Mus musculus: one gene and its partners. The protein of the gene in region 4 binds, or shares a complex with, the protein of the main gene of each other region. Links are inferred from orthologs where the notes say so. Each region holds a gene or a part of one and is shown on either strand. Other genes may lie near its edges. The genes, in order: Prpf4, Snrnp200, Lsm2, Usp39, Lsm3, Lsm5 and Prpf3.

Evidence for each region.
Region 1: Usp39 (region 4) and Prpf4 share a complex: the UniProt entries of both Homo sapiens proteins name them as parts of the U4/U6-U5 tri-snRNP complex. The link is inferred for Mus musculus from reciprocal best matches to the Homo sapiens genes USP39 and PRPF4.
Region 2: Usp39 (region 4) and Snrnp200 share a complex: the UniProt entries of both Homo sapiens proteins name them as parts of the U4/U6-U5 tri-snRNP complex. The link is inferred for Mus musculus from reciprocal best matches to the Homo sapiens genes USP39 and SNRNP200.
Region 3: Usp39 (region 4) and Lsm2 share a complex: the UniProt entries of both Homo sapiens proteins name them as parts of the U4/U6-U5 tri-snRNP complex. The link is inferred for Mus musculus from reciprocal best matches to the Homo sapiens genes USP39 and LSM2.
Region 5: Usp39 (region 4) and Lsm3 share a complex: the UniProt entries of both Homo sapiens proteins name them as parts of the U4/U6-U5 tri-snRNP complex. The link is inferred for Mus musculus from reciprocal best matches to the Homo sapiens genes USP39 and LSM3.
Region 6: Usp39 (region 4) and Lsm5 share a complex: the UniProt entries of both Homo sapiens proteins name them as parts of the U4/U6-U5 tri-snRNP complex. The link is inferred for Mus musculus from reciprocal best matches to the Homo sapiens genes USP39 and LSM5.
Region 7: Usp39 (region 4) and Prpf3 share a complex: the UniProt entries of both Homo sapiens proteins name them as parts of the U4/U6-U5 tri-snRNP complex. The link is inferred for Mus musculus from reciprocal best matches to the Homo sapiens genes USP39 and PRPF3.

Annotation. Positions count from the first base shown.
Region 1 is NC_000070.6:62,422,283-62,425,782, reverse strand, and holds part of Prpf4 (U4/U6 small nuclear ribonucleoprotein Prp4), read right to left. Parts: coding exon 3,483-3,500; intron 3,369-3,482; coding exon 3,261-3,368; intron 3,181-3,260; coding exon 3,062-3,180; intron 2,566-3,061; coding exon 2,372-2,565; 3' UTR 1-2,371. UniProt on the Homo sapiens protein: Plays a role in pre-mRNA splicing as component of the U4/U6-U5 tri-snRNP complex that is involved in spliceosome assembly, and as component of the precatalytic spliceosome (spliceosome B complex).
Region 2 is NC_000068.7:127,211,386-127,214,885, reverse strand, and holds part of Snrnp200 (U5 small nuclear ribonucleoprotein 200 kDa helicase), read right to left. Parts: intron 3,287-3,500; coding exon 3,094-3,286; intron 2,538-3,093; coding exon 2,482-2,537; intron 80-2,481; coding exon 1-79. UniProt on the Homo sapiens protein: Catalyzes the ATP-dependent unwinding of U4/U6 RNA duplices, an essential step in the assembly of a catalytically active spliceosome. Plays a role in pre-mRNA splicing as a core component of precatalytic, catalytic and postcatalytic spliceosomal complexes.
Region 3 is NC_000083.6:34,980,478-34,984,653, reverse strand, and holds the start of Lsm2 (U6 snRNA-associated Sm-like protein LSm2), read right to left. Parts: upstream 2,801-4,176; 5' UTR 2,572-2,800; coding exon 2,569-2,571; intron 2,525-2,568; exon of another isoform or gene 2,398-2,524; coding exon of another isoform or gene 2,287-2,397; intron 2,035-2,286; coding exon 1,967-2,034; intron 1-1,966. UniProt on the Homo sapiens protein: Plays a role in pre-mRNA splicing as component of the U4/U6-U5 tri-snRNP complex that is involved in spliceosome assembly, and as component of the precatalytic spliceosome (spliceosome B complex).
Region 4 is NC_000072.6:72,318,176-72,321,175, reverse strand, and holds the end of Usp39 (U4/U6.U5 tri-snRNP-associated protein 2), read left to right. Parts: intron 1-1,349; coding exon 1,350-1,436; coding exon of another isoform or gene 1,437-1,440; intron 1,441-1,936; coding exon 1,937-1,984; 3' UTR 1,985-2,164; coding exon of another isoform or gene 2,165-2,235; 3' UTR 2,236-2,500; downstream 2,501-3,000.
Region 5 is NC_000072.6:91,514,866-91,518,834, reverse strand, and holds the start of Lsm3 (U6 snRNA-associated Sm-like protein LSm3), read right to left. Parts: upstream 2,801-3,969; 5' UTR 2,778-2,800; coding exon 2,757-2,777; intron 1,788-2,756; coding exon 1,677-1,787; intron 1-1,676. Other genes in the region: Xpc (DNA repair protein complementing XP-C cells homolog), read left to right, coding at 3,036-3,129. UniProt on the Homo sapiens protein: Plays a role in pre-mRNA splicing as component of the U4/U6-U5 tri-snRNP complex that is involved in spliceosome assembly, and as component of the precatalytic spliceosome (spliceosome B complex).
Region 6 is NC_000072.6:56,701,900-56,706,187, forward strand, and holds the start of Lsm5 (U6 snRNA-associated Sm-like protein LSm5), read right to left. Parts: upstream 2,801-4,288; 5' UTR 2,770-2,800; coding exon 2,724-2,769; intron 1,511-2,723; coding exon 1,415-1,510; intron 1,135-1,414; coding exon 1,107-1,134; intron 270-1,106; coding exon 197-269; intron 1-196. UniProt on the Homo sapiens protein: Plays a role in pre-mRNA splicing as component of the U4/U6-U5 tri-snRNP complex that is involved in spliceosome assembly, and as component of the precatalytic spliceosome (spliceosome B complex).
Region 7 is NC_000069.6:95,845,886-95,849,385, forward strand, and holds part of Prpf3 (U4/U6 small nuclear ribonucleoprotein Prp3), read right to left. Parts: intron 3,177-3,500; coding exon 3,030-3,176; intron 1,964-3,029; coding exon 1,880-1,963; intron 1,711-1,879; coding exon 1,490-1,710; intron 1-1,489. UniProt on the Homo sapiens protein: Plays a role in pre-mRNA splicing as component of the U4/U6-U5 tri-snRNP complex that is involved in spliceosome assembly, and as component of the precatalytic spliceosome (spliceosome B complex).

The DNA of each region.
Region 1 (3,500 bases), on a different chromosome or scaffold from region 4:
ACTGGTTCACATAGTTCCACTGCTTACAGCTGGGTAATTCAGCAGTTATTCAAGTCCACCCAGCAACCTTAAAAGAATGAATTCTCTTAATGTGCCTGATGCACCACTGAGGTAGGGTTAAATGACAGTGGTTCTGCCATTCAGAATCCACTATTTTCTTACAGTGGTTGAAGAAATGGATTACTTCCCCAGACACTTGCTCGGCCTAAGGCTTACATGGAACATTTCCAACTCGAATGCTCTCTTGGATCAACCGAAAATTAAGTTCCTAGTAAGGTTCAGACCAGAGAACTCAAATGTGCCAGATCCCGAATGCAGGGCTCTATGCCAGTCTCATCATTTTACAAACACTGTAAGATGTCAAGAAAATGGTAATTTCATAGAACAGGTTAAGGGTGGTTAAGTGCCAAGTGAAGGGAAGGCCTGAATGGCGTAACAGCCACATATACGGAATATACTTGGTTATGACTGGAATCACATGTTTAGCTGGGTGTGGTGAGCATACTTTTAACTTAGAAGGCAGAGGCAAGCGGATCTCTGAGTTTGAGGCCAGCCTGGTCTACAGTGAGTTCTAGGACAGCCTGGGCTTCACAGAGAAACCAGCCCCTCCCCAAATGTTTTGTTATATACCATATATTCATGATCTACAGAAGAGCAGGGCAGAACAGGAAGCCGATGGTGTGTAAACTTCCAATTCTGGAGAGGGAATTTCACACTATACACAACCTTCTCTGAAATTACTGCTCTGTGCGGATTTACCGTGCAGTTCTGGAGTGCAGCAAGGTGAAGCCAATCACTGACTGATGAGGAAGAACTATGGAACCCAGACACACCTGAAAACCTGGTGTTCTCCTGGGCCAACAACTCTACGTAAAGAAGCTGTTAGTGTCTGGATGTGACTGATGGCTTACACCTACAACTTACAGGACTTGAGATGCAGAGGCAGGAGGATTTTGACTCTGAGGCCAATCTGAGCTACACAGTAAGACCCTTTGTCACAAAAACCTGCTACTTCCTCCCCCCTCAAAAAACACCACAATAAACATCTGAATAAAGTAACAGAAAGTGGAACAATTCAGGCCTAGAATTACATTAGATCTCAAAACTAAAGAAGGGGATCTCTTTGGACAAATGGTTAGGTTCACAAAATGCTGAAATAGAAAATAATCCTTTCAAAGAGTTTTTATAGTAAGATTTTACTCTCAGCAAGTGTGTGTGTGTGTGTATGTATGTATGTGTGTGTGTATTTATATATAAAAGTTTATGTTTGGTAACACCCAAACATAAATTAGGATTTTTTCCAGTTCCTTTGACATGAAGTGTTCTTTAATACATAAGGTACACCCTTTAAATAACCAACAGGAAGGAGGCTGTACAACACAGACATCATGTTTGTTTTTAAAACCCCTTTGAATCTGGATACAATGGCCAGATTGTTTTGTCATGAAGGATATCAAACTTCAAAGCCAAAAGGAAGAGGCTCTAACTTGGCTCTAACAAGGCCAAGTGTGCAGTTCTGAGTCCCAGCTGCAGTGAACATCCTTCGTGAACACCACAGAAAGGGAAAATCTTTTTTACTGTGGAGCTATCACACAGCTGCAGTCTATGGCTCTGGTTTCATTCTCGGCGTCAGGAAAGGAGCTCGCCACAAATGGTGGTGACATGTCCTCATAACTGGGGAGATTTCAAATACAGTCCAGCTATCTTTTTTTTCTTTTTTCCTCGAGACAGGGTAGAGAAAAGGCTGTCCTTGAACTTGCTCTGTAGACCAGGCTGGCCTCAAACTCAAGAGATCTGCCCGCCTCTGCCTCCCAAGCTGGGATTAAAGGCATGCGCCACCACTGCCTAGCCAGTCCAGCTATCTTGCTTGCTGAATCACCCGTAGTCCCAAGCACATACCATGTTATAGAGAGCCAAGTTCAAGCACTAAAAATACAACTGCCAGGCACAGCAGCACATTTCCATAATGCCATCACTCGAAGGGCAGGACAGGAGGATTACTTACAATGTAAGGCTTCCGGGACAGTCAGGGATATACTTACAGATTCTGTCTCAAAATGCCAAATAAAAAAAACAAAAATGAAAGAACGGTCACAATCCTGAGTGTGAGGGAGGAGGCAGGGCACTGAAAAGTGTTGAGTCTATACAACATCTACAGTTTTTGGCAGAACCTGAGATGAGAATTTTGTTCTAACCACGAAGGGCTTGCTACCACCTAAAGACAGGCTTCCTCAAGAGTGGGCTGATGTGAAAATCCAATCCAACACATGGTATTTGGCAGGAAACATGATAGAACACAATACAATTCTTTTCCTTTGAGGAAATGGCTCCGTCGTGAGAACACAAGTTCTGAGTCCTTCCGTGGTCTGGCCTACTCTGCCATCCAGAGCTTGAAGGTTCTGTCATAGGAGCACGTGGCTATGAGCTGCCCATCAGAAGAAATGTCCAGGCCCATCACTTTGCCCTCATGACCAGCCAGGGTCTTCAGTGGGGACCAGCCTGGGTGGGTCCAGATCTTGGCTGTATTGTCATAGGCACCTGTGAGCAAGAAGTCCCCATGGATAGCTGCAGAAGACATAAAGCAAACATGAAGAACTCAAGTATTCAGAAAGAGCTTAAGAAAAAGAAAAAAGACAAAGACCCGACAAAACACATTATTTTGAAAGAAAGGTTATTTCTGATTTCAGATAAACTGAACTCATTCATTCTGCATTCCTAGGGGCCTCCAAGATAAGAGACGGTCATGAGCAGACTGAGGATAACCATGTAACAGATGAAGGCTGTGTGGCTGCCTTTTCCCAGGTGGATGGTCTGTTCAGTAACAGCAAGCATCTAGTTAGTGCCTGACATTCATGGAGGACAAAATGAAATGAAGCCTTCGCAGAACTCTTTGCTTCAAGAAGGCATGCTTTGCCATAGCGCTGTCTATAGGTATGGCAGAGGGAAGGAAGCTGAAATTTGCTTAACAAGGTTCCATGTCTAAGTTAGTCTAATGGCCAGGATGTATTCCATGAAGCAAAGGGTGTCTGGTGTTAAGGCTGAGAACAAGAGAAAAGCTTACGCTCAAATTTGACACCGGTCACTAAGTTCTGATGGGCGGGGATGGTGTAGACACAGCGTCGCTGCCGAAGGTCCCACACTTTGCAGGTGTTGTCACCACTGCCAGTGGCAATGTGGTAGCTGAGGATCAGACGTATCATAGTTAGGAACAGAGATTATTGTCTGGCCAGGACCCTTCCCATCCACTTAGTTTGCTTTACCCATTGGGGCTGAAATTTATCCCATAGATTTCCTTCAGGTGGCCTTCCAGGAACATAATGCAGCGTCCTGTGCGTAGGTCCCAAACCCGGCCAAATGCATCCAGTCCCCTGAGGAGATAACATCTGTATGAATACACGGAATCCAGTCTGACGAGGAAGTGGGGTTGCCTAAGAGGTGAGACCACTAAGCTGCCTGGTCTTGCTTTGTGGAGAAAGTCTTACCCAGTGCCAGCCAAAGAG
Region 2 (3,500 bases), on a different chromosome or scaffold from region 4:
GCACAACAGCTTCGTCCCCTTCCATGTCATCATCAGAAGCTTCTTCTCGGACTTCCCCATACACATCTTCATCACCTTCCTATGGAGACAATGTTACCTGTAATACAATCTCAACACAGATGTAGAACTGGCCCTGTGTCATACAGGTCCTGCTTTCTATCACTCTAAGTAAGCTCCATACTTAGAACAACGGCTTTGGGGTAAAGCCAATAGTGTATCAACCATATTCCAGGAATATCAATGGAATGACCATTTGGAATGGGTTTATTAGATGTATCTATCCTCTTTTCTGCTTCTCACCTTAGCTGCAAATATCAAACACTGGGATCATATGCTCCTTCTGAAACACAGATAATATCAAACTAAGACTACTGGCTAATGGAGGAGCTATGAAGACGAATACACAGGAAAGTAGATTGTGAGCCAGAAATGTAGACATCATGCTTAGTTTGCATAATCTCAACTGTGGACTGTGGACTTAAACATCATGTTCAATAATTAACATCTGTTAAATAAATTGCTACGAGCAAGGAAATCTGTATCAGGTTGTTCCTAATTAAAACTACAAATTAACAGCTGGGCAGTGATGGCACATGCCTTTAATTCCAGCACTCAGGAGGCAGAGGCAGGTGGAACTCAGTAAGTTTGAGGCCAGCCCTGATCTAATGAGCTAGTCCAGGACTGCCAAGGCTACACAAAAGAAAACCCTGTCTGGAAAAAAAAAGAAAGAAAAAAAGAAAGGAAGGAAAGAAAGGAAGAGAAAAGAAAAACTCTACCAATTAACTATTCTGTAGGAAGTAGCATTTTGTTTTACTAAAACAGAAACCGAGGCAAAATGACCTGCCTAAGATACAGGCTCAAACTCAAGATTCCTTGGCTCTCAGTTCAGTGCTCACCCTGACTCCAGTAACATCTTATCTTCCAGGACATTTCAGGACTGGTACTTTCTTTTTCAGAACACAAACTCACTCACTGAAAACTCTAAAGTAACCAACTTTAAAAATGACAGGCTGGAGAGATGGCTCAGCTGTTAAAAGAACTGACGGCTCCTTTGAAGGTCCCGAGTTCAAATCCCAGCAACCACACAGTGGCTCACAACCATCCATAATGAGATCTGATGCCCTCTTCTGGTGTGTCTGAAGACAGCTACAGTGTACTTATTTACAATAATAAATAAATCTTTGAGCAGGAGAGAGCAAAGGTCCTAAATTCAATTCCCAGCAACCACACAAAGGCTCACAACCATCTGTACAGCTACAGTGTTCTCATACATAAAATAAATAAATCTGAAAAAAAAATGACTTAAGAGACATGTAGAGAATTTCACTATGTAGCCTAGCTGGCCTCAACCTCTTGACTGTTGGGAATGTAGGCACTGTGTTACCATTCCTGGTTCAACTTTCCTTTTTCAATTGTCCCACTATTCATATTTAGTTATAATCTAGAAGTGGCAAGCTTTAACCCCAGGAGCTGCTACAACAGCTAAATAGCCAAGTACAATTACATCCATACTCTTAGGTGAATATGCATTCTTAAACTAGCAATTAGCCCACAACTCGAAAGCCGTGAATTACTATACTATGGTTAAAACACTCCAGCAGGACACAACGTCACTGAAGATGTGCTTTATCTTTTTTCTTTATTGATTAAATGGGTTCTGACAATTTCATGCACGCACACAATGCATACCAAGCTCTCTCTCTCTTTTTTTTTAAAGATTTATTTATTTATTATATTTAAGTACACTGTAGCTGTCTTCAGACACTCCAGAAGAGGGCATCACATTTAGTTACAGATGGTTGTGAGCCACCATGTGGTTGCTGGGATTTGAACTCTGGACCTTCGGAAGAGCAGTCGGCGCTCTTAACCACAGAGCCATCTCGCCAGCCCCCATACCAAGCTCTCTTACTGCAGCTCCCCACACCTCACGGAGCCTCCTCTTCCCTACACATCTGTTTCTCACACTCATGCCTCCTTGTGTTATTTGTGACCCACTGAATTTAACCATCAGAGACCAGAAGGCTTAGAAGTGGTTACAGGACTGAAGATAATGACCCCCTTTCCATAATCTATCAATAACCAATAGTTAGGTAGCAGGGAGAAGACTCCTCCCCAATCTCTGACTGGGTGTTGACAGGGCCAGTCTTGGACAGGCCCACAGTAAGTAAGTGCAGCTGCTTGAGTTCATGATTGCAATAACTGCACTGTGCCCACAGGATGGCATTTCTCAGTCCTCCTTCCTACTTTCATTGGTCTATCTGGTTTATTATAAACTGTCAGTGTACACCTACTAGTTTAGATTAGCTTCTAAAAGAACCTAACGTGAACCACAATAACTTCTTAAGCAGAATGACACAAAATTTGTAAGTATACCACAAAACACTGTAAAACGCATTTAGCTAGGAATTTCAGTTTATGAGAAGAGCTCCCACTACCTTGGTAACATCACACAACAGAAGGGATCCATTTAAAGCCACTCACCTCCTCATCAGACTCAAACTGCACGTTCACACCATAAGTCTCATCAATGTTGTCATCTGAGGAGATGTGGGATTACAAAGAGAGGGCAGTGGTTAGTGTGGAGACACTCAAGCCCATTTCCTCAGCTGCCTGGCTTGCTTACTCTCAGGCCAGAACACACAGACTTAACCAACACGAAAACAAGCACCAAGGCCTCTCAAGCCTGCCAACCTGGATTCTACCCTGCTCTGCTTCTTCAGCTCCTAAGCCCTCCCTGCTCTCTCTCACTGTCTACACAATAGGTCTCAATTTAAAAATGGCTGCCAGGGTGGCAGAGATAGTTCAGCTACTAAAGGATAAGGCTCACAACCAAACATCAAGAGATAACTCTCCACTTTATTCTTCTTAGGTGGGTTTTGCTTAGGAACCCTGCAGCTGGAACTTGCTATGCAAACCAGGCTGACTTGTTGGGATAAGCCTGTGCCAAAAGGCCTGCAGATCACCATTCTCTTTAAGCAACACAACATAAGCTATGGAAACAATGCTATTCTAAAATTTTAACAAAGATGCTGAGTATTCAACAGAAAGGCCAACAACCACAAAACATGGTCTGGACACAAAGAGCTCAGGTACCCATATTCTGTATCTCCTTGTCGCCACCGTAGTCTGTGATCTTCTTGCCCAGGTTTACCAGCACATGGTATCTGGTATCATCTGTCTGACCCAGCAGCAGGTCAATCTCCCGTCTTCTCTCCTTGTCTCGAAGCTTTTCATTCTTCAGCACAGCCAGGACTTCATCAGCTGCTCCACAAAGAATATCTCGAGGCTGAGAATACAAACAACGTACAACAATAATATGTAGAAGGGCACTGACCAGCTTTGTGACAATATAAAGTAAAGAAGCATGCATCTTCAAAACTACACAAGCTGGAGATGTGGCTCACAAGTTAGGACTGCGTTGCTTTTGCTCTTGGGTTCAATTCACAGCACCCACATGATGGCTCAAAAGAAAAATCACAACTCAAATTCCAGGAGATCTG
Region 3 (4,176 bases), on a different chromosome or scaffold from region 4:
TTAAGGGATGCACTGCTATCAACACCACTTAGCTAATCATCTTTCAAAGTATTATCATCCTCCAGGATATGAGAGAGGTCATGGAAGGTAACAAAACTTACAACCAATAAACTGAAGGTCAGCCCAGATCTGCATGACTCCCAGAAGCATCAACTATTATTTTTAAAATATTGATTTTTATTATTTGTGTGTATGTGCATGTAGTTACCCACAGAGACCAGAAGAGGGCATCAGATCACTTGCAGCCAGAGTTCTAGGTAGGTGTGAATCACCTAATGTAGTTGCTGGAAACTGAACTCTTATTTTTCAGGGAGAGCAACAAGTTTTGTTTTGTTTTAAAGATTTATTTATTATTATATCTAAGTACACTGTAGCTGTCTTCAGACACTACAGAAGAGGGCGTCTGATGTCCGCTCTCTTTACAGATGGTTGTGAGCTACCATGTGGTTGCTGGGATTTGAACTCAGGACCTTCGGAAGAGCAGTCAGTGCTCTTAAAATCTCTGAGCCATTTCTCCAGCCCCCAGCAAGCTCTTTTTAAAGCACTGAGCAATCTCTGCAGCTTCCCTAACTGTTATTTGTAAACATTTACTGCTTTGGAGTCACAGACCTATGTACACATACTGGTAGCTGGAATTACTCTTTATTATTTTTGCTACACTCTTTTTTTTCTCGTATGAGTTTTTTGTTTGTTTGTTTGGTTTTTTTTTGTTTTTGTTTTTTTTCGAGACAGGGTTTCTCTGTGTAGCCCGAGTGCTGGGATTAATGGCCTGCGCCACCACACCCGGCTTCTTCTTCTTTTTTAAAAAATTGGATATTTTCTTTATTTACATTTCAAATGTTATCCCCCCCAACTTATCTTTAATAATGAAGATACAAGTCAAGTCTTCTCAGTTCTCCAGCCCTCTAGCCCCTAAGCAAGGTTATCAAGGCCAGTGCTCCCATACCACCTTACATGCCCCACCTTATATTATATTTACCCTCTGTGTAACCAACTTTAACCACCTCAGATCCTGAGTTTTACTTCCTCACTCTCTACATCCTATGAATCCCCACAGCTCTGTAGACCATTCGTGTGATTTGACTTTTAGACTATGAAAGGTCTTAGTCTGCACCTCAGTCTGGGCCAGCTTCTAACTTGGCCACACTGGTCAGAACCATCCTGCTGGTCAACCACTGATGTGTGTTCAAAGGTTTCAAGAGTCTACAAATAAAGTTATTTTGCTGGGCGGTGGTGGCACACGCCTTTAATCCCAGCACTCGGGAGACAGAGGCAGGCGGATTTCTGAGTTCGAGGCCAGCCTGGTCTACAGAGTGAGTTCCAAGACAGCCAGGGCTATACAGAAAAACCCTGTCTGGAAAAAAAAAAAAAAGTTATTTTAAAGAGAAACATGAGGGCTGCATATGAAGTTCACTTGTTGAGCATGCCCAGTACATGAAAGAAAACAAAAGCAAACAAAACCCGGCTTCAATGAAACTATAATTTTCGAAGCACTATTAGGAACCAAGTAGACCTTAACGGATGTGACAAGAACCCATAAACATATTTCCAGTGGTACAGCATTTAAGCATTTACCCCAACTCCTGAATCGTTAAGAGCAAATGATACAGCCAGGCAAATCCTAGCACTCAGGAGACAGAGGCATGTGGATCTGTGTGTTCCAGGACAGCCAGGACTACACATACATGTTACTTAACTGTATCTCACTGTGTAACTCCGGATGGCCCTGGACATATGTAGACCAAGCTGTCCTTGAACTCACACCTCTGCGTTCAGTGTTGGGATTACAAGCATGTGTCACAATACCAGGCTCACTCTTAAACTAATCTTTTACACTTAAGACGAAAGGTATTTCTTCTGTGTTTTGCCTACCTACTCTGAAGTAACTTTGTCAACAACAACGACAAAAAGGATCAGGACACCCGGCACCCCCACCTTCCACCAACTCGCTAAAATAAGGACCTACCTCAGGTCATTCTTGAGTTCCACGACTACATCCTTGCCCACAAGAGACTTGAAAAAGGAGTAGAAGAGCTATTGGAAAAGAGGGAGGAACTATCACATGAAAAGGGACGGGGAGGAGGAGCCCGTGACAGTATTTTGAAATACTAGTCTTTGTAGCCCCTCCTAGTAGTTCTCAAAACTTCATAACCAACAACAATCCGTTAAACGGGACTCTGCAGTTCACGGAGCCACGGAGTGACAGGACCTGCGTTGCACCCCTCGACGCTAGAACCCACTCTCTGAGTCGACCACCTCCCAGCTGAGACCGCTTCCCAACCGCACCCTCACAAAGTCCTCGTCAACAGCACAGAAGTGCAAGGCTCGCTTCCCGTTCTCCCCCGGCGCCCGTGGGCTTTCTCTTGGACTTGCTAAAGGTTTCCCCCAAAACACCATCGGCTCCGAGCAGCCTCCTCACACTGGGGTGTGGGCAGTAAGGCTGTACGGAAAACCCTGGGGCCTGGCTGCCGCCCCAAGCGACCGACACGAGTGCCCGCACCCACGCCCGCACGGTTCGAACCGCCCGCCGCGAGCGGCGGCGCTCCCTTTTGACGTCACGGTACCCACCATGGTGCTGGCGCCACGCGGGGCGGCCTGGACCGCGAAGGAAGGCGCCGGGGACTGCGAGCCGGAGGCAGGGCGGGAGCCGGAGCGCGAGCCCGCGCGTGAAGCAAGACTGGATCACGCAGGCGCACGGGGAGCCGCGAAAACCTCGGCTGAATTCAGGCTCAAAGGGAGCGGGGTAGGGCAGAGCCGAGAGGACCGCCAAACCGGTAGAGGGGCGGAACTTCCTGTCCCCCCCACTTCCTCCCGAGCAGCCGCTTTCTCACAAGCGCATGCGTGGGCCGTGGCAGCTGCGCGTTGGACGTAGTTCGTCTCTTTTTCTGATGGTTGTTGAGACTTTTCTCTCTGCCGCGTGATTAGCTCGTAGTCTACGTTTTCTATGGGGAATTATTGGGAAGATTGAGAAAATTATGACTTGCGTATTCTTTAGTAAAATTTAAAATGTTGCTAAGAGCTGGACAGCGTTCGTGCCCAACTGGAATCCTGGAGTTGAGACGGGAGGATTCTGGTTTAGAGGTCAACTAAAGCTATTATAGCAAGACCCTGTGTCAGAGAATAAAATATACACCAATACACACTGGTTATGGTGTGTGTGAGTGTGAGAGAGAAACCGGAACACAAATCCTGATTCTTATCAAAGGTTCCCAGTAAGTAAGTTTCTCTCAATTTCAGTCTTTTGGGGTGCAAAGTTGACCCAGAGCGGACACATTCTAAGCAAAGCAAATGAACAACATCCCAGCTCTAATGTTATATATATATATATAATTTGGCATAGGACTCGTCTGTAAAGGACTAAACTGACTGGAACTCAGTGACAGAAATATTTTACTTTATCTTAGCTTTTTTTGTGTGTGTTTGACAGTTTTTGCCTGTATGTTATGTCTGTACTACATGAGTTCCTGGTAGAAGAGAGGGCTTCAAATGCCCTGGGCCTGGAGTTACAATGGTGAGCCTCCTTGTGGGTGCTGGCAATCAAATCTGGGTGTTCTGGAAGAGCAACAGATGCTTGTAACTGCTGATCCATCCCTGCATTACTGAAATATTTTCAACTAGATCACCGACAGATACTACTTTGGATGTTCTGGGAACAGCATTACCAGGCTTGTAACATGCTGGTTGTGAAGGAGTTCACAAGAGCTGACTGATTTAAAAAAAAAACAAAAAACTAGAAAAGCCTCAGTAGGCAAGTTCCAGAGAAGAAAGAGATGGTCTGAGATGAAAGGGCTTTGTTGTTATTTCGATTGACTTGTTTTATGTAAGTATGCTGTGGCTTTCTTCAGACATCCAGAAGAGGGCATCAGATCCCACTACAGATGATTGTGAGCCACTCTGTGCTTGCTGGAAATTGAACTTAGGACCTCTGGAAGAGCAGTCAGTGCTCTTAACTGCTGAGCCATCTCTCCAGCCCTATTGTTTTTTTTTTTTTAAATAATTACATTAAGTGGGAAGTTGCTAGGTTGTATCTTCTGTGGATATCATGTCTGGATAAATAGGGAAACACTTTCTATTCTGTCTTCTCTTCTTGAGGCTGGCTGTAGGTGCAAGGCAGTCACGGGACACAGGTGAAAATTCTGAGAGTCTAAACCTGCTGATTGCAGGGTGGAATTCTCT
Region 4 (3,000 bases):
GCTTCAGAGACCTCTATATACTAGAGGCAATGGCTTTAGTTCTGTCTTACTGTTAGATGCTCCCTGAAGCTTTCTGAGGTCCTAAGTGCTGGCCCTGCCCCAGCACGGCCACAGTAGACATTGGTTTTCAACTGGAGTAGAGGCCAGGGATGTAGCCACAGGGTCTACAGTGCTGTTACACCCTTCCTTAAATCCAAGCTATTGATCCTAGTTAATTAGGAAACTGCCTTAGATTATGTGGATGTATAATGAAGTGTTAGGTGCTCTGAGGTTCTCCTGGGGATTCTCATACCCAGCCAGGGTTGAGAACTTGTGTTCTGAGTCAGAGCCCCACCAGCCAGAGTGGTACCATCTTAGGGCTCCTTACAATGGCAGAGTCCCAACCCCGTGGAACACTTCATTATTTAACAAGACCCTTTGATGTGTTTGAAATTTACATTTTGAAGCTTTGTCTTTTTATGGCATCGTTTGACTCTGTAGCCCAGGCTGGCTGAGAACTTGAGGCAGCTCCGCCCTCAGCTTTCTAGGTCCGAGGATCACAGGCATTACTACCATGCCTGGCTGAACTAAAAAAGTTTTTTTAAGAGTGTGCCTAAGCTGAAAACGAAAGCATACACAGGATATTTGTACAAACACAGGATTTAGTGTAGGTTGTTTTAACCTGGTTAATGTCTCTAGGACTAGTGGTTTACTGTCCTTAAAGCATAGCTCTCACACATGAGGAAGCCTAGGCCGTCCTATGCTACTGGCTTCAGTTAAGTCTTCAACTTAACTGAGTTTGTCTGATTTACCATTTTTTTTGACAGAAAAAAAGACATTAGAGATTAGAGGGCTTTCTCTTTTTCCTCTTGAGTGGCCACCTAAATTCATTTCCAGAAGGGTAGAAATGGGTTTGGGGATTTAGCTCAAGTGATGGGGTATCCAGTGTGCACAACACCTTAAGCTTGATTCCAGACACCACATAAACTGGGTGTGGTGACATACACTCTAATGTGCCTGTACTCCAGAGGTAGAAGCAGAGAATCAGAAGTTCAAGGCCGTCCCTCCTTGGCTAAAGAGAAAATCTGATGCTAGACTGGTTATGTGAGGGCACCCTTATATACAAACACAGAGAAAGGACAGAAAGGAAAGCAGAATGTTTGGGACTTCGTTGTACTTCAAAGGCTCCTCCACAGGAATTGAGGTTGCCTGAACTGTTTGTTGAATCAGGTCTAGCCAAGGTTATGAACCATCCTCATGGCTCTTGCTGATGTTTAGTGGCCATTCTGATGTGTCTGTCTCTTGGCTGTGACCATTTTTAACCTCTGATTTTGGAGAGCCATTAACCCAGCTCTTTGTGCTTTGTGCAGGGGACTGGCAAGTGGTATGAATTACAAGACCTCCAGGTGACAGACATTCTGCCCCAGATGATCACACTGTCTGAGGCGTACATTCAGGTGGGTGTGGGCCAACGCAGGAAGTGGAGCTGCTGTAGCCTTGCTTGCAGGGCCCGGTGCTTTGAGTGTAAGGGGATCAGATTGTGTGGCTCCAGAAGCCAGTCAGACTTTCAGAAAGGAAAAGTATGGAAGCCTATCAGTCAGCAAGGAAGCAAAGAAGTGTGTGTGTGACTTGTGAGTTAGCAGAGATCTGTGGCTCTAGTTCTAGGAGATCCAAAGCTGTCTTCTGACCTGTGTGCATTACCAGGCATGCCCATGGTGGGCACATACATACATGCAGGTGAACACGCATACACATTGAATAATAAATAAATCTGAAAAAGGATGGAAGAAAAGTCACGGGTGAGTGGGAAATGAAAATGGAACGAAAGGCGCTGTTGTGGATGGTGCGGATTGTTTTTGAGACTGGCGTGTGTATCGGTGTCGTGCTGTCTGTTTGCTGCACAGAATAGTTACTTGAGGGCTAACTCACTGAAGAGATCACTTTCTATTTCTGACAGATTTGGAAGAGGCGGGACAATGATGAAACCAACCAGCAGGGGGCTTGAACGCCTTGTTGGGTTTTTATTCCCAAGGGCTGTGGCTGAAGATGGTAAATAAAAATACTGAAGCTGTCGCTGAACACAGACTGACTGAAAGATTCCTGCCCCAGTCCAGTTTTTATGGATTCTGGCTGCATCACCATGAAGGAGCCTGTCTGCCCTGATGTTCTGCGCTGTCTCCGGCAGCACGTTGTGGTCGACACTCTTCCCTTTCAGCATCAGCAGGCAGAACTCTTACAGATGGATGCCTTATTTGAATTGCTGCAAGTATCAAAGAACAGACAGTTCGGTAGAAACGTCAGGTCTGGAGACCCTAGGAGTAAACGTGAAGTCAGCAGCAGCCTTCTGTCATAGGTAGTGGCTTTCCTGTAGCTCCCTTCATCTCCTGTGGGACGTGTGCGATGGATTAAATATCCTCCTGTTTTTAAACCAGGCTGTTGTTTCATATACCCCATTGAGGCTTGTTAAGGGTTTTGTTTTCCTTCTTAACTTTATATTATATACTCCTGTCTGTAGTCTGTCAGCTTGTGGGTGGGCACTATCCTTGTCTCTTCCTGTCAGCTTGTGGGTGGTATGTCGTTAGGGGTGTATTTGTCTCTAAGTCACAAAATATCTGGCTAAAATGATAGGTTTTCGTGCCTACCTAGAAGGCTGACAGTGGGTGATTTGGGACTGAGGTTCCCCCCCCCCCCCCCCCGCACCCCCAGGCAGAGAAGTGGAATCATTGTAGCTTGAGCAGGTCTCTGCCAGGCTGATGGGAAGCCCGAGGCAGGGGCTGACTGGCAGAAATGGCTTCTGTCAAGCTCAGTCACTGAAGGGTTGGAGGCCTTGGGCCTGAGATGTGGGCAAGCTGGCACACCAGTGGGCAGCAGGCAGCTCATTACAGCAGCTCTCTTGGAATTGGTTTGTTTCTTTGTTTCTTTCTTTCTTTTTTTTTTTTTTTTTCTTTTCTCTTTTTTAAATTTTAGAGACAGGGTATTGCTATGTCCCTATCTGGCCTCTAGCTTCGCATCCTCCTGTCT
Region 5 (3,969 bases), about 19 Mb from region 4:
CTGTGGGCTCAATCAGGAAGGATTTCAACCGCAGTGTTCAGTGCAATCTCCAAAGTTCATTCCTTTTACTAAACAGCAAACCTCCTGGGGCTTGTTCAGAACCCACTGCATGTTCTTCTAACAAAGTGCTAAGCGCTTTTGCCTGCTCATATCAAGATTAAAAATAGCCTAACAGCCACACTGGGAAGGAACTGCTTGGCAGCTACACAAATGAGCAACTCATCTGGAGAGCAGGGAGGAAACAGAAAGCTGGGCCGTTACTGCAGAGGTAAGAGCTGCAGACAACTCCAAGTTAGAGGCCACAGTCTGGCCTGGGGATCATTCCGTGCACCAGAGTGCCATGCAATTTAGCATCATCCCACATTTCTCACCAAACTGACACTGCTGTTCCCACAAGGCCAGCTTGTAGATCAATTCTTTATCCTTGGGTTTCATGAAAGAACATGAATTTCTAAGACTGAGACTGAAGTGGGATGGCCTGGTCCCCTACAGTGGCTCTGTCACTGTCAGTAGAGGGTTGTTTCTAATTTCTAAGCCTGAACTAAAAGACTTATTTCAATTCCTGTTGTAAACAAACAGCCCTGAGGGAAGTAACAAGAGGAGACAAAACCTTAAGTACACAATGATGGGACCAATTCCTCAGACATATAAATGTGCACAAGCAATATCTGTGAAAGTACCCATTGCAGCTTTATAGCTGGGGGGGGGGGGGGAGACTGAAGTCTGACACAGAATCCTGTATCCTGTGGCGTTGTGTCAGCTGTGTAATTATTCCACACAAAAAACATGTGAAAAAAGTGTGTACATATGAGACAAGGTTTCACTATGTAGGCCAGACTGGCCTCAAATATATGATCGTCCTGCCTTGGTCCTCTAAGTACTGGAACCATGGCACATGCCTCCGTTCCTCACTAGGCTCCCCTTCAGACACAGGTGGCATATACACATGCAGACGACTATGCAGCCAACTTTGAACAGTGGTCAGACATAGAGAAAAATGGAACTTCGCCTTTAATTTTACCCATTTCTATGAAGTTGTTTTTGTTTTTGTTTTTTTTTTTTTGGGTAGTGCTAGGGTAGGGGCTTTGCCGCATGCTAGGCAAACTATCTCTAGCCTGCTATTTAATTCTTTTCATGACAAAACAGAGCTTTATATGTCAAAAGCTAAAATACCCTATCCAATAACTTTAAAAAATCCAGGACAATGCCAAGAATGAAGAGCATGTCTGTAATCCCAGCTCTCAGGAGAGAGGCAGAGGGAGCTGGAGTTTGAAGCTAGCCAGGTTTTCTAGTATGACCTTGTCTAAACCCAAGAGAACAAACAAGTTTATTCATAAATAAGCAGAAGACAAAACTGAAGGAAACGAAAGTGTTCTCTATGGTTGGAGAGATGCTCAAGCTAAGAGCACTGGATTCCTGAACAGGACCTGAGCGTATCAGGCAGCTCACAACAGTCTGTAACTCTAGCTCCAGGGGATCAGATGCCTTGTTCTGTCTCACCGGAGTCCCACCCCTCTCTAAAAAACCATTCTGGTTAAGGAAAACATATTTTAAAAGTGAATAGAAGGATTTTCCAATTCCCAAAAGAAATTCAAAAAAGTAAGTTTACACTGCAGTTCTAATTTGTAAGGAGGTAGGATGCAGCCTCTGGCTCTGAGATGTTTTAACAGACTTACGTGTAGTCTGCCTCGAAGCTCTCGGTCATTTCTCATTTTCACATAAATTCGCTCATCCAGGCTGAGCCTGATCAGATCCAGGGGCTCCTCTACGGTATTGGTGGTCTGTTGCTGAGGAAAGGCAAAGGCTTACTCATAGGATACAGAGGCCGGGTGGTGTTTCAATCACTGGTCAGCTGAGAGAGCAGCATGTGGGTGCTAGTACACAACCAGGGTTGTCTCCAAGATCAGCAAGCGCTCTTATCTGCCAAGCCACCTCTCCAGCCCCAATAAATCCCCATTAAGGAACTTACACTCTAGTTGTGGAAGAAACACTTTAAATAAATACATATTTAAAACAACATGCTCTGGAGAGAAACACAGTAGGGTAGCACGTACGTACGTACATACGTGTGTGTGTGTGTGTGTGTGTGTGTGTGTGCAGGGGCTATACATATTTAAAACAACATGCTCTGGAGAGAAACACAGTAGGGTAGCACGTACGTACGTGTGTGTGTGTGTGTGTGTGTGTGTGTGTGTGTGTGTGTGCAGGGGCTGTGTGTGCATGTGAGGGTGTGAAAGACATTTTGGTGGCCAAGGTACACCAGCTACCTAAGAAATAGGGAAGGGTAGGTGCAGAGGCCCGTAGGCCCTTCTGTTGGCCTGTGTACCAGATCTTTGCTTGTTTTCTTCATACTCCATCTCTAGCAGTTTCTCCATCTCCTAGAACTGCACCTTTCCTCTGACCTCCCCTCGTAATTCACTCCAAGGGAACCACTGCCTGTGCCCCCCGTGTTCACTCGGATTGCTAAACTGGTGTCCTGCTACGACCTCCCGCTTTCTGTCGGAATCCCGACAGCTAGCTCCCAGAGATGGGCATCTCCAGCCGCCTGCATTCATTCTACAGAGAAAGGGCGACGACGAGCGCGATGGGTAGACGGGCGGGTTGAGAAACTCTGGGCCTACGGAGGTTTCAGGAGCAGGCCCGGCTACGGAAGGCCGTGGTGACTCGGAAAAAAAGAAAAGGGCCATCCCACGGGAAGCGTGGAAAAAGCGAGAAGCGAAAGCATTTCCTCTTCGAACGCCTCAGGTCAAACTTACCTGATCTACGTCGTCCGCCATGTTTCAAACGCTGCGCCCTTTCCACCTCTCGCGGGAACAGGAACTCAGAAACCTTAGGCCGCCACGCACTGAAGGCGAACTATATTATTTTTGTCCCTTCGCGCCCTCGTAGTTTGCATGGGGGCGGGGCTTCCTTCGAGGGCGTGGTCCTACCCTGGGCTGGGGGCGCGGCCAGGCGTGGCCCGCCTCCGGGCGGGGCGGGCACGCGGAGACCTGCGGCGTCCTGCGCGGTAGTCCCGAGGAACGCCTCTGGCTAGCATGGCCCCAAAGCGCACCGCAGACGGAAGGCGGCGGAAGCGGGGCCAGAAAACCGAGGACAACAAAGTAGCCCGGCACGAGGAGAGCGTTGCGGGTGAGAGGCCGAGTCTGCAACATGCCAGGCAGTGGTGGCTGAGGCTGGTGCGGGCGGCGGAGCGGATCTGCGCCTGTGGCAAGGTCTCCACGGCCGGGTGCGCGGCGTCCCCGAGGGCCTCTGCTATCAGCCTTAAACCCCTCTGTTAACCATTAGAGCCAAGTTCAGCCTCTAAGCAAGTGTTGAAGGCTGAGCAGCAGAAAGCTTCGCAGTTACCAGGTGTCTCAAGGAGACCCCAAAACCAAGACGGAGGGAGACTCTAGTGCGTGCGAGATCTCTCTCCAAATTCCCGACTGCCATCCAGTGTAACTCCAGAGTTTAGGATGTGCTTTGTTGTTGTTGCTTTGTTTTTCCGGACAAGGTTTCTCTGTGTAGCCCTGGCTGTTCTGGATCTTACTTTGTAGACCGGGTTGGCCTCAAACTCAAGAGATCCACCTGTCTCTGCCTCCCTAGAGCTAGGATTAACCCGTGTCTGCCACTGCGCCCTGGCTAGAATGCGCTTCTTACCTAGATCTTGAACAAAGCAAAACTTCCATCTTCCCTCTTAAACAAATCCATCCTCCAGTTGTTCCATTTCAATAAATCACACCTTTTCTTAACTGCCAGTTCGGCAGCAAGTCCAGTCAGCTTCGGAACCAATGAAATCTGTACCTAATTCTCTTTAATTTTATAGCTGGAGATCCTGTCCACAATTGAGTAAGTGAACTTCACGTTGCTTCTTTTCTGGCTTCCTCTCATCTGTCTGCCTCAGGTCATCATCTAGCAGCCAAACGGATGTAGAACAACAAAACCTCATGCCTCTGTCTTCTTATCTAAAACCCCCTCAGACTTGCGCTCTGC
Region 6 (4,288 bases), about 16 Mb from region 4:
AACCCTGACTAAGACAAGGACCAAAGCACTTTCAACAGCTGCCCTGAGGCACAGATCACCAAGGCTCCCTTCCCATCCTCAGTGTGTCTATCTCAGTGCCATGAACATTGCCAACGAAATAGAAGTTTAAGTCAGTTCCATAATCCCTACACTACAAAAGTAAAATAATTTCCAGAGAAAAGTTTTAATGTCTTACCATTGTTATATTATTTCCATTTAGTAGAATTTGATCTAATTTTGTAATTCTTCTTCCTTCTGGTGTAATTTCACTAAAAAGATAGATTAAATGGAGTCTGGATAAACAAGTAATCAAAGGCAGTATTAGAAACACTTTCCCTCCCTAAAAGTCCTACTGGGGTAAGGAGAATAGCTTGGTGGCAGAGCACACACACAAGGCCCTGGGTTCAATCCCTAGTGACAAAGCTGTTATTCTTACACATGATTCAATGTGAACGCATATAATTACAGTAAATATATACAGAATACAAACTGCCCATTGGATAATACTCATGTAAATATAATTCACCATAAAGCTTGTTCACACTAATTTCTTACAAATTCAGGAATAATATGAAGATAATAATCCTTTAACTGGACCTCACAAACACCAGTAAATAACGTTTCAGTATTAAGGTATTTTCCAACAAGTAATTTTTTTTATATCGATCATACTAAAGCTGCTATGGAGGTTTAAAGGAGAATGGCCTCCACTTGGTCCTCTGTTGGCAAACTGGAAATGATTAGGAGGTGTGGCCTTTTTTGGAGGAGGTGTATCACCCTGTTAGGCTTTGAGATTCCAAAAACCTAAATTATACCCACTTAGTGCGCTCGCGTTCTCTATTTACTTCTCTCTCTCTCTCTCTCTCTCTCTCTCTCTCTCTCTCTTGGTTATTATCTAACATATAAGCTCTTAGCTAGGACAGTCAGGGACTCTAACCATCTGAAACTGTAAGCAAGCCCCCAGTTAAACGCATTCTTCCATAAGATACCTTTGTCATGCTGTCTCTTCACATTAATAGAAAAAAGTAATCAAGGCACCATCTTTAATTAAAAAGAGATTTCCTCCCCTCCTCTCAAATTTTTTTAATTTTTTAAATACTACTCACAATTCTGTGACATCTTCCAACACCATATCTGAATTTAATGTTAAGAAAATAAATAAGGTTTATTCAGGTATATGTTTTTGTTTGGTTTAAAATATGTTCAACACTATGATAGTGCAAATTCAAAAGGTTTGTTGTTGGCAAGAGCCCTATCAACTGTCAGCAAACACACCTCTTAAAATACTACCAAGTTCCTGGAAAACAAAATTATTCTTAATGTAATAACCAGAAATTCTTCGGTTGTCTATAGTTCTTTCTTATATTAATACATCTTTAGAAACCTACACCATTCCCGCTTTTAAAAAGGATACTGACAAAGTCATCAAATCCTAGAAGTGTCCCGACAATTTCTTTATCACTCTTCATCACAATGTGAATTCTTGACCCTATACATTTGTCCACAAGCTCTGTGGAAGGAAAAGGGTAATTTTACCTACTTATTAGATCGACCAACATTTGAATGCCTACTTCACTTATTATTTTTTATCATTAAAGATAAGCAAAAACATTCAGTTTTTTGCTATTTATTTATTTATTTACTTACTTTTATTAATCATTCCATCTGTTTACATCTCAAATGATATTCCCCCTTCCTGGTTACCCCTCCACAACACCCCTCCCATATCTACCTTCTCCCCACTCCCCAATTGCTTCTATGAGGGTGCTCCCCCACCCACCCACCCACTCCAGCATTCTCCTTATGCTGTGGCATCAAACTCCACAGGATCAAGAGCCTCCCCTCCCAATGATGTCAAAAAAGGCCATACTCTCCTACATATGTATCTGGAACCATTCGGTAATTTTACATCTTACACAAATCTCTGTTTAATCGTTAGCACAAATGTTTGCCTTAGCTTTCACTTAACTCTTTATTTGCAATTAATAGGACTGTGATTTTTATTTAGATTATTTGATTAATGTATGAAAACACACACCATGAGGTGGGTGGAGACCATAACTGTTTTTCTTCATCAGTGTTTGTACCGATAAACAATATCTAACACTGCAAAAACTTTCAATCACAGACACATTCACTAAGCTCACCAGCCCCAAAACATGACAAGGGAGAAGCATTATTACAGACACCGGCTTTCCCGTCACTCCTTCTCTCACTTAACCTTAACTCTCTGTGCTCCTGGGCCAACCTGTTCATCTCAGCATCTTAGAATTGCTCAGCACGATGCGTGCCGGTGTGCGATCTTGAAAGCAATGGCTGTAATTCAAGTTCATTATTCAACAGTTCTCTGGCACTGCGCGGGAATTGCTTGTTGAATTAATGAACGACGGGGCTAGTTTCCAGATTTCTATTGTAAGATTCATTGTATGCCGTGGCGCACTCCTTACCCAAGCCAATACAGGGTCTACCTGATCTGGAGACCAAGAAGGCCAAGCTGAGAACTGGGACTGCGCGACTCATGACATCTTACTGGCGAGCTCAAAAAGGCCGAGCACGTCCTTCACTAAGTGGGACCCTCACCGACCACCGACAGGCAAAACGGTCTGTCTGTCTGCCCAGTGACGCCAAGGACCGGACAGCCGGGCCCGGAGGGGCGGTGGCCCAGCCTCGGCCCCCAGCGTGGAATTGCAGCAACCCGACCGCTCCCCAAACAAGACTTTTACCTAGTGGCAGGAGTTGGGACGGGTTCGTGGTCGCGTTAGCCGCCATGGCCACGCCGGAAGTGGCTAAGGACACCGGCGCAGACTTTAAAATTGCGCGCTTCCGCCCTTTTCCACAGCTGGTTCAGACAAGACTAATCCAAAGCCGATCTTGAGATCCAGAGGATCCCAATGGATCGCAGACAGATTCGATAGAGAGGTTCGGATCTCTATCCCTGCCACCAACCCAACAGGCACCTATGGTACCCCCAAGTTTTGCTAAACTTCAGAGATAATTTGCCGCCGGAAGACCAGCATACGAGATCTCTGAGTCGGTTAATTTTCCTCTAGAAGGTTGCATTTCAAGCCTGTATCTTTCTTCAGAGCAATAAAATCAATTTATATTTCCTACTATAAACTCGTTCTGCATGCTCCTCAACAACTACTCATTTTTTTTTTTTTAAGGAATCTGGTACTTTTAAGGCCAGAGGACTGAAAGTCTATAAAGCAGCATTTTTCACAAGCTTTTTTTTTTTTAGAAAAAACAAACAAACAAACAAACAAACAAAAAACTTCTACTATTATTTAATTTCTTCTTGTCGTTTCTAGGTGTCTGGTTTATTACAGGCATTAAAGTCACTATCAGTTTTCAATTTGCAGGCAACCGTAAGATGTCACTCTGTATGTTGACTCCATCATGTTTGGAAACCTTGCTATCACACTTCTGCATTGGAAAAGATTAAAAAGCCCCCTTTTAACGTGGAGTGGCCAGTAAACCCAACACTTGAGAGACAAAAGGAGGCATCTGTTGCAGGCATGGCCCTCTTAGACCCCGACACAAAATAAGAAATTAAAACTAACAAGGGCTAGCTGGTAGCTTGGCTATAGGGTACTTTCCTAGCATTCATGAGGCCCGGAGTTTGGGCCCTAGTGTTTTTTGTTTGTTCGTTTACGTGCTTGTTTTGTTGTTGTTGTTGTTGTTGTTGTTGTTGTTAAAGCAGATAAATACTTTGCCTTTGTCCATCTCATGTGACAGACTTAAAACCAAACAGCCTAAATATGAGAGATGAGCACCCTTCATTCCTCCATTGAAAAAACATATCAGTGGAATATTGTTTGACTAGCAGCTTGCTGGATACATAAAACAATGTTCAGAAAAGTCTTCAACCAAGAGAGTGGGAAGGAGGACAAATAGTACATTTCATGTGCACAGCACTATGGGATTTAATATGGAAAGCAATGAAAACTCAGCTCCATTCTCAATTCCAAGCCAGTGGTGGCTTTTTTTCCTCCACGCCCAATCTATAAGTCTTACAGATCTACTAGGTCCCAAGGCAATTACAAACACACTTGACAGCCATCCTTTTGAGGTAAGAGTCAGGATTAAGTTCCTTGTGCTTAAAACAAGTTAAAACACTGTCCCTTGGCCACAGCTTGAAGAACTGAGGAGTTGTTGGGAGTCTTCTCACACAGTGACTAAGAATGGGTAAGCAGAGAAGAGGCAAAAGCCGCATTCTGAGAAAAGGAAACATTGTGTGCAGTGGATGTGTGTCACTCCAAGCTTCTCTTGTTGATCTTGTCTTTAAACC
Region 7 (3,500 bases), on a different chromosome or scaffold from region 4:
TATCCTGGAACTTACAGGATATAGACCAGATTATGTAGACCAAGCAGACCAGCCTCAAACTCAGAGATTCCCTGCCTCTGCCTCTGCTTCATAAGTACTGAAATTATATGTGCCACCACTACCACTTGGCCATTATCTAATCTTATTTTATTCCCAAATTCTTCTCTTTTTTTCAAAATTTATTTTCAAGTCCTCTAGAACCGGACTTACAGATGGCTGTTAGCCAACCTGTGGGTGCTGGGAACCAAACCTTGGTCCTCTGGAATAGCAGCAAGTGTTCTTAACTACTTAGCCACCTTTCCACCCCTACCCTCACCCCTGCTTCTTTTGTTGTTATTTCACGTGCACTGGTGTTTTGCCTACATGTATGTCTATGTAAGTGTGTTGAATCCTGCAGAACTGGAGTTACAAACAATTGTGAGCTACCATGTGGATACTAGGAATTGAACCTGAATCCTTTGGAAGAGCAGCCAGTAGTTTAACCATTGAACCATCTTCCAGGTCATTTCCCTCCACCCCCACCCCTTTTGTGGTGGTTCAAGAGTCTGAGAGCCCAAGGCCTCCTGCATACTAGGCAGATGTTCTACCACTGGGATGCATGGGAAGCAACTCTATCATCTGTTCCTAAGTTCTTGAATTAGTCTTGGGATGCCAGAACAATCACAAACGAGACAGGGTCTTGCTATGTAGTTCTGACTTGCTAAGAACTTGTTAGGTAGACTAGTCTAGATTCATATTTACCTCACTACTCTTGCTTCTCCCTCCTGAGTAACAGAGTTGCAGACATGTACCACCATGTGCCACCCATCTAACATATGGTCTCGACCAATACTGGTTAATGGCTGAAGCTCTTAAGTAATAAGCCAAGAAATCTGATTCTATTCTTACCTCCATTATTAAGTGAAAAGTATTATTTTAGTTCTATCAGTTATAAGCAGACAACAAACTACAATAAAGCCAAAAAATGTAACTGAATTAAAATCATTTATTAAAAATAGGAAACTTGCCAGGCGGTGGTGGCGCACGCCTTTAATCCCAGCACTTGGGAGGCAGAGACAGGTGGATTTCTGAGTTCGAGGCCAGCCTGGTCTACAAAGTGAGTTCCAGGACAGCCAAGACTATACAGAGAAACCCTGTCTCGAAAAACCAAAAAAAGAAAGGGAAACTTTTAAGAAATTATTTAATGTTCTTTGAGTTTAAAAAAGTCAGTAACGGGCTAGAGAGATGGCTCAGTAGTTAAGAGCACTGACTGCTCTTCCAGAGGTTCTGAGTTCAATTCCCAGCAACCACATGGTGGCTTACAACCATCTGTAATGGGATCCACTGCCCTCTTCTGGTGTTTCTGAAGACAGGACAGTGTACTCGTACATAAAATAAATAAAATAAATACGTCTTTTAAAAAAAAGTTAGTAATATTCAAGTAAATTACCTTTAAATAACTACCCCAGAACTTTTAGAAGTGATATGGGACTGTGTGAAAGATACTCACGGTGGAGCTATGCCCATGGCATGGAGATTAGCTAGGCCCACCATGTTGGCATTGCCAATAAGCCCTGGCTTCAACGCCAGCTGGGCCTGGATTCGGGCTTGCAGCTCGGCAGCTTTCCTCGCCTTCTCAATGGCATCGTTCATAAAGGTAGCGGCCTGGGAGGGCTGAATAGTGTTGCCGATGGGAAGTCGCTCTGGTTGGGAAGAAGAAGGTGTCTTTGGCTATAAGACAAGAGATTAAAAGAAATCAGAGAGTGTGTGATAGGCATACAGATACATACACAGCATGGCAGATTATGGTGGACAACTGGAGCCCTTTCCGGCCTCTCATGTGGATGAATGACAACAACCTTGTGCTAACTCTTCTTTTCCGAGCAATCAGGCACCATACCTGAGGTGCAGGGGGGCTGATGAAGCTCAGCTGTTTTTTCCGTTCCTCGATTTGTCGTGTTGCTGCTTCCATCATCTGTTTGATCTGTTCTCCAGAGGGAAAAGGTGGAAAAGATTATTTCCTCCCATAAATGTTCCTAAATTAAAAAGCATTCAGTTCTAGAGACCTAAAAGATTGTGAATGTCTCCACAATAAATATATTATCTATACCATAGACAAGAAAATTTGCTAAAGATAAGCCTATACCCTTAAGCACTAGAATTTTTCAATCTTTTCCCCCCATGTTAGGATTGATATATTAGGTAGTATATGTGACTGAGACTCAGACAATATGAGGTTAGAACTGTACCACACTTTCTGCCTGTATTTCTTTGGATAAGGCATTAATACCTTAACCTCTCATCAATCTAAAAGAGGGGAAGCAGTACATGCACACTTCCTAACATTCATTCCTACATTCAAGTGGACAGGGAGGCTGTAGAGATGGTTCACAGCTAAAGCACCAATCACTCTTGTTTAGGACCTGAGTTCAGGTCCCAGCATCCATATGGTGGCTCACAACCATCTCTAACCAGTTCTAGGGTATCTGATACTTCTAACTCCCACAGGTTCCTGCATGCACATAAAAATTCATACTATGTTTAAAAATCATGGTTATCAGCCAGGCATGGTAGCATACACCTTTAATCTCAGCACTTGGGAAGCACTAGCAGGCAGATCTGAGTCTGAGGCCAGCTAGGGTAACAGCAAGACTTTGTCTTTAAAAATGTTAATGATCATGTTATCAGCCCCTGAATTCCTACTGTAGGTATGCATGGGCAATGGTGCAAGGCCTCTTTCGATGCTTGTTATGTTCTAACGAAGAGCAGAAAGAAGCTCTAAAGATATAGTCAAGCTAAGTGCTATCATTTCATTTCATTTTCCAACATTGATGAGGCAGACAACTGGGCAAACGATGAAGTAACACACTAGGTGCTCAATAAATACAGTGTCAATAATCCTTAGCTGGGCTACTTCTGATCAAACCAAAGACTGCTAAAATATAAAGGAAAAAGTAAAACTTCCTCAAATGGTTAACACAAACTCAAATCATGATCACTGTGAGCCTGGTGCCACAACTCACAAAATCCCTTTGCTTCTTTTAACTAACCTGGAGCTTTGTTAGCATGCCAGGGCTTTCTGATGGAGGTCCAGGGATCACCTCTGGCTCCTCTTCTACCTCCTCAAAACGGGGTATCCGCCGCTTCTTTACCCCCGATGATTCCTTTGAGATCTCAGAGTCATCACCAAACACCTCCTAAAGGAACCCAAGATGAAAGAAGAATTGCACCCCTCCCTAGGGGAAAGGAACAACCATCCCAACCCTACCAGCATCCTGTGGTTTCCCAGGGGATATGACAACCTTTCAAATAACTACTTGCAAGAAGCAGGGTCTCTAGATACTCCTCCAAGTGGACCATCTCACCCAACTTCATCATTCTCTTACCCCACTCAAGCAAATTTCATTCCCATGTTCTGATAAGTTTTCCCATCTCAAGATCTTTGCCAGTGCTACTGCCTACATTTGTAATGCTCTTCCTCCTTCCCACAAATCCTGTCTAAAACTCACCTCCTCCAGGAA